2 linked regions of the Saccharomyces cerevisiae S288C genome follow. Changing the gene in region 1 together with any one later gene gives a genetic interaction. Each region holds a gene or a part of one and is shown in the gene's direction. Other genes may lie near its edges.

Region 1 (4,456 bases):
ATGAACCATTTGTTCGGAGATAGAGTACTGAATGGTCAATTTCTTCAACTTATGGGTATTGTGCTTCCTGTCCTTAGGCGAATTGGTCAACGCAGTGGTGAACCACTCGGTGATCTGCGTTTCCAACCAAGTGATGGGCTCTTTGTCTCTTTGGGCGGAAGAGAGCTCCGAAGTGGGTGTTGGTTGCGAACTGGTTATTTGTTGCATCTTCTGTGCCACCAACTGCACGTTGGCATCCGCGTGCTTGAAAAGGGTGTAGTGGGTCCTGGCGTACGACATGAACGTGGTCAGCTCTCTTGTGTGACACGTTTTGTCGAATTTCTTGACCATTTTACGGAACCCGGTGACGTTGATATCCCGGAACGATTTGACCAATTGCAAGTACAGATAGTACTCGATTATAGCGTTGCTTAACAAGTTTCTAGCCTGGGTTGTCGTCATAGTCTCCAGAAAAGAAGCGCCAAAAGCAAACGTCTCGCGGCCTCTTGAGGACGCATCCTGTCTCAAGTCCTGTAGCAGAGAAAATCCACGTTTGGGCCACGATGGCAGCAGCCTATTGTCCTTAAGAACTTTCTGACAGTACGCTAGCAGCGACAAACGCGGCTTCTTGGCCTCTTTGGTGCAGGGCATTGACCCATACATAACAGACCGGCTATCGCTGTCGATGCTATTGACCCTGGAGTCAGAACGACCAGCAAGCCCTGCCGCATATAGACTCGTGGACATGTCAACATTCGAACTAGACCGGTTCAAGTTGTCGCGCTCATAATTCTTCTGCAGCGAGTAATAGTGCAGTTGCGACTGTAAAACCTCAAACTTCTTGTCGCACTCCTTTAGCAACCAAAGGTAAAACTCGTTACACTTACTCAACTGGAACGAGATCAACCAGTCTTCAATGAAGTCAGCAACGAACTCCCTCTGCAAAGCAGAATAGTCCTTCTTGAACGCAGGTCCGGAGCGATAGTCTCCGTCGCTGCGACTTTTGCCGGGCTCTCTCTGCTGAAATGCAGTCTGGTATACCGACACAGAGGGCATCCAGCTCCGGTAGGAGCTGGATTGCTCTTCTTCGGCATCCAGCTTCTCCTTGTAGCGGCGAAGCTTCTTCTTGCCGACCTTATAATCAATATATTTGTCCCTCCATTCCGGGATGGCAGACTCGGTTAGATGGTCAGCAAACTTCATCTGATACGGTGCTATGGTAAAGCCCTTCCATTGCTGCCAACTGAATTAAAAAAAAAAAAAAAATAACTACCAACCATCAAATCAAACAAAACAAAACAAAAAAGCAAAGGAGAAAACCCATCTTGTACATGTACAGTCCCAAACTGTTGCGAAACCGTGCGATGATGTTCATGGAACTTGCGTCAAATAAAACCGCATCCCGTCCCACGTGACAAACGGCACCCAAAATCCGTTCTAGAAATGCCTCACACCCACACCGATGATGGGCTTCCGACTCGATGACTACCAACACATAGCCAGCCGCAGCGGCTGGCAGCATGTGCATGATAATGATAAGTGATGATGAATGATGGTGATAACGATTTTGAACAAATGGCTGCAGCGATAGCAACTAAGGGGATGGAAAGACAGATCTGGGAGAGATAACTGCAGGGTGTGGCACGGCAACACAAGGCTATTGTATTGCACTAAACGGGCAAGAAGCCATGATGTGCGTCTGTATCCCAAAAAAAAAACTAATGGATTGGCGCGTGTACTATATATATTCATATGTCGTGTGTTTGTATATGTGTGGGAGTGATTGTGCGTGTATATGTGTGTTGGCGTGTGTGGTACAATGTGTGTGTTTTAATGTAGAAATGAGGTTGTAGCACGTGATCGGGAAGCCACAGTTTGCGCGGAGATATTTTATTTTTTTTCATCAGCGTAAGAAGAAAGCAACCTTGCAGTCTGTATCGTAAGAGAAGACTGCAGTTAAAGAAGTTTAGAGAAGAGGCTTGAGTATCGGTAAAGGGGTGTGTGTTTGGTGATTTATAAAGGAGAAGGGCATGAGGAGAGAGAGGCAAAGGATGATGAGTTTCGAGGACAAGGACAAGGACGACCTTGACAATAGTAATAGTAATAACAGCAGTGAAATGACAGATACGGCGATGATGCCACCATTAAAGAGATTGCTTATTACGGGCAGTAGCGATGATTTGGCACAAGGATCATCGGGTAAGAAGAAGATGACGATGGCGACGAGGTCGCCATCGTCATCACCCGATTTGGCGACAAACGACAGCGGCACTAGGGTACAGCCATTGCCAGAATATAACTTCACCAAGTTCTGCTATCGGCATAACCCGGACATTCAGTTCTCACCAACTCATACAGCGTGCTACAAGCAGGATTTGAAACGAACGCAAGAGATTAATGCTAATATCGCGAAGCTACCCCTGCAGGAGCAATCCGACATCCACCACATTATCTCGAAGTACAGCAATTCCAATGACAAGATACGGAAGCTGATTCTGGATGGGATCCTATCGACGAGTTGCTTCCCACAGCTTTCCTACATTTCGTCACTCGTTACACACATGATCAAGATCGACTTCATCAGCATTCTGCCGCAGGAGCTGTCGCTGAAGATCTTGAGTTATCTGGATTGCCAATCTCTTTGCAACGCCACGAGAGTGTGCCGCAAGTGGCAGAAGCTCGCGGATGACGACAGGGTATGGTACCACATGTGCGAGCAGCACATAGACAGGAAATGTCCCAACTGTGGCTGGGGGCTGCCTCTTTTGCACATGAAACGTGCGCGGATACAACAGAATAGTACAGGATCTAGCAGCAACGCAGATATCCAGACGCAAACTACGCGACCTTGGAAAGTCATCTACAGAGAACGGTTCAAAGTGGAGTCAAACTGGAGAAAGGGCCACTGCAGGATTCAGGAATTCAAGGGCCACATGGATGGTGTGTTAACGCTCCAGTTTAACTACAGGCTTTTGTTCACAGGCTCGTACGACTCCACCATAGGTATATGGGACTTATTCACGGGGAAGCTAATACGAAGGCTCAGCGGCCATTCGGACGGCGTCAAGACATTATATTTTGACGATAGAAAGCTGATTACGGGCTCGCTCGACAAGACGATCCGTGTTTGGAACTACATAACCGGTGAATGCATTTCCACGTATCGAGGCCACTCGGATAGCGTTCTGAGCGTAGATTCATACCAGAAGGTTATCGTTTCCGGCAGTGCTGACAAGACGGTCAAGGTATGGCACGTGGAGTCCAGGACATGCTACACCTTGAGAGGCCACACGGAATGGGTTAATTGCGTCAAATTGCATCCGAAAAGCTTTTCATGTTTTAGTTGCAGTGACGATACCACAATCCGAATGTGGGATATCAGGACCAATTCATGCCTAAAAGTGTTCAGGGGTCATGTAGGGCAGGTGCAAAAGATCATACCGCTTACCATTAAGGATGTAGAGAATCTAGCCACCGACAACACTTCTGATGGCAGCTCTCCGCAGGATGACCCAACAATGACTGATGGTGCAGACGAATCAGACACACCGTCGAACGAGCAAGAAACTGTCTTAGATGAAAACATACCTTATCCAACACATCTACTATCTTGCGGACTGGATAACACAATCAAACTATGGGACGTCAAAACCGGTAAATGCATAAGAACACAGTTTGGGCACGTGGAAGGTGTTTGGGACATCGCCGCTGACAACTTCAGAATTATAAGTGGTTCTCACGACGGAAGCATTAAGGTCTGGGACTTGCAAAGCGGGAAGTGTATGCACACGTTCAACGGTCGAAGACTACAAAGAGAAACTCAGCACACACAAACACAATCCTTGGGTGATAAAGTCGCCCCTATCGCTTGTGTTTGTATTGGAGATTCAGAATGCTTTAGTGGTGATGAATTTGGGTGCGTAAAAATGTACAAATTCGATCTCAATGATTAGGACCTGTGTGTGGTCTTTTCTTGGTCAAAAACATCCGTAGTACCTCGAATATATATGCTTACATATATAATGAAAAATACATAATAGCATTTTACATTTATTTTATTTCCAGGAAAAAAATAAATCGCTAGCGTATCACTAGCCTTTTCCATCTTCAGTTTTTTTCCTTCCTCTTTTTCGTCTCGATAAAACTCTTGACCATTAGATGCTATTACTCCCCCACGGAGCCCTTCCCACGCTAAGGGGGATGTCAAGGGGGGGACTGAAGATAAAGCTTATTATATTGACGGCGATGATGAAGAGGGCGTACGCATAAAATGTCGTACAAGATCCATAATCTGCAATATTGTTCCCTCAACAGTACTAATAAATCCAAAGGGCGAAGGTACTTTATTATATAAACGCGCACGGCCATTGTATATAAAGGCGATTACATAATAGAATACTTATCGATTCCGTAATCCTTGAAATATAGAATATACATAAAATAGACAAGAACCCAACAGTTGAGGCGCCAGCTTTGG
Region 2 (2,693 bases), on another chromosome or scaffold:
GACATCGAGGAAAGGTACTCATTTCATTGACTGGAATAGCTGCTTTATTTACCACAGGGTCGGTGGTAGTGTTTTTCGTGAAGAGATGGTTGTATAAACAGCAGTTACGGATTACTGAGCAACACTTCATCAAAGAACAGATCAAAAGAAGGTTCGAGCAGACACAGGAAGACTCGTTGTACACAATATACGAGCTACTTCCTGTATGGAGAATGGTTTTGAATGAAAACGATTTGAATTTGGACAGCATCGTTACCCAATTAAAGGACCAAAAGAACCAGTTGACTAGAGCAAAGTCTAGTGAAAGCAGAGAAAGTTCGCCGTTAAAAAGTAAAGCTGAGTTGTGGAACGAGTTAGAACTAAAGAGTTTGATCAAGCTGGTGACAGTGACGTACACAGTATCGTCGCTGATTCTTTTAACAAGACTGCAACTAAATATCCTGACAAGAAACGAGTACCTGGACTCCGCAATAAAATTAACCATGCAGCAGGAAAACTGCAACAAACTACAGAATAGGTTCTATAACTGGGTTACATCGTGGTGGAGCGATCCGGAGGACAAAGCGGATGATGCAATGGTAATGGCAGCAAAAAAGTCAAAGAAAGAAGGCCAGGAAGTGTATATTAATGAGCAAGCTTTCCTATCACTATCATGGTGGATTCTTAACAAGGGGTGGTTGAGTTACAATGAAATAATTACAAATCAAATCGAAATTGAATTTGACGGCATACACCCAAGAGATACTCTAACGTTAGAAGAATTTAGTTCTCGTCTCACGAACATATTCCGGAACACGAATTCCCAAATATTCCAGCAAAATAATAATAACCTCACGTCTATTTTGCTTCCTAAAGATTCCAGTGGACAGGAGTTTCTTCTGTCACAGACGCTTGACGCGGATGCTTTAACAAGTTTTCACTCTAACACACTAGTTTTTAATCAATTGGTGAATGAACTGACCCAATGTATCGAAAGCACAGCAACATCCATAGTGTTAGAGTCTCTAATAAATGAATCATTCCATTTCATAATGAACAAGGTCGGCATAAAGACAATAGCCAAGAAAAAACCTGGCCAAGAAGATCAGCAACAGTATCAAATGGCAGTTTTCGCTATGTCGATGAAAGACTGTTGCCAAGAAATGCTTCAAACAACTGCCGGGTCTTCCCATAGCGGCAGCGTGAACGAATACCTGGCCACTCTGGATTCTGTGCAGCCGCTCGATGATCTGAGCGCCAGCGTATACAGCAACTTTGGCGTCTCCAGCTCGTTTTCCTTCAAGCCTTAATCTCTGAATAAGTACTGACACTCACACCAGAATATATATATATATAGCGTAATCTTTAATACAGTAAGTGTGCAATAGGTAACATGACATTACCCTGCAGCGATTTAACGGGCGTCTTGGAGAAAAGAAGAGAAAGGGAAGAAATAGGTTGATATATTGAGGGCAGAGAAAGTGATAGCCCAACGTTGGCAAAGATATAACAGAAAAGACGTTATAAACAATACAGGAATACTAACAAACGTAGCGCAGATATGGTGACTTCTAATGTTGTCCTAGTGAGTGGTGAGGGTGAACGATTCACCGTAGACAAGAAAATCGCGGAGAGATCCCTGCTATTGAAAAACTATCTGAACGATATGCATGACAGCAACCTACAAAACAACTCAGATTCAGAATCAGATTCAGACTCGGAAACGAACCACAAAAGCAAAGACAACAATAACGGTGACGACGACGATGAGGATGACGACGAGATTGTGATGCCCGTGCCCAATGTTCGGTCTTCCGTTTTGCAGAAGGTTATCGAATGGGCCGAGCACCACAGAGACTCTAACTTCCCTGACGAAGATGACGACGATTCCAGAAAGAGTGCTCCCGTGGACTCATGGGACAGAGAATTCCTGAAAGTGGACCAAGAGATGCTATACGAAATTATTCTGGCGGCAAACTACCTCAACATCAAGCCCTTGCTTGACGCTGGCTGCAAGGTGGTTGCTGAAATGATCAGGGGAAGGTCTCCCGAGGAAATTAGAAGAACGTTTAATATCGTCAACGACTTCACTCCAGAGGAGGAGGCTGCCATTAGGCGTGAAAATGAATGGGCTGAAGACCGTTAGCCTACATTTCCTCTGATGACTGTGATCCTTTCTTCCGATGATAATGCGCCATTTCAGAGCAAGATAGGCAAAAATAAGCAAACAAGGCTTGCTGTCATGCAATGTGTACGTTAGTCCACCATAACCAAGCATGTATGAATTATATATGTATACAGTTTACATAAACTTCAAACTACAATAAGATGTGTGGTCCATCGTCGTGTGTAGCGATAGGCGTCTTCTAAAAGCCGCAAAAGTGACAAGAAGAAAAAAGGAAAATTATTGAGTTATAAAAGCTATTGTTTACATGATGAGACGGGATAAATTTAGGACAGATAGCTGTAAACACTCCGTTTTGAATCATATTTGTGAAATATTTGGTCTAAATTTTAAGTCAAGTTTATTTTCTTCGAGCATTTCAACACCAGCTTAACCCTTTGCTTTAAATTATTCATCTAAAATAGGGTATATTGATTGCTAATCACATATAAATATATAGAAGCAGCAGCTGTACAGATATCCCTAACCAATGAGGGATGAAGCTACTCGCAAAAAAAGGTCATTTAGTGATGGTCATTTTTTCAAGAAA

What was found.
Region 2: of MET30 (region 1) and SKP1, extra expression of one rescues a mutant of the other (dosage rescue), as found in Saccharomyces cerevisiae (3 studies listed by BioGRID).

Annotation. Positions count from the first base shown.
Region 1 is NC_001141.2:266,642-271,097, forward strand, and holds MET30 (ubiquitin-binding SDF ubiquitin ligase complex subunit MET30), read left to right. Parts: upstream 1-2,009; coding exon 2,010-3,932; downstream 3,933-4,456. Other genes in the region: SYG1 (Syg1p), read right to left, coding at 1-1,182; YIL046W-A (uncharacterized protein), read left to right, coding at 1,668-1,832. UniProt on the Saccharomyces cerevisiae protein: Substrate-recognition component of the SCF(Met30) complex, an E3 ubiquitin ligase complex that mediates the ubiquitination and subsequent proteasomal degradation of target proteins. Negatively regulates sulfur amino acids biosynthesis genes expression.
Region 2 is NC_001136.10:1,124,866-1,127,558, reverse strand, and holds SKP1 (SCF ubiquitin ligase subunit SKP1), read left to right. Parts: upstream 1-1,540; coding exon 1,541-2,125; downstream 2,126-2,693. Other genes in the region: PEX3 (Pex3p), read left to right, coding at 1-1,289; YSP2 (Ysp2p), read left to right, coding at 2,634-2,693.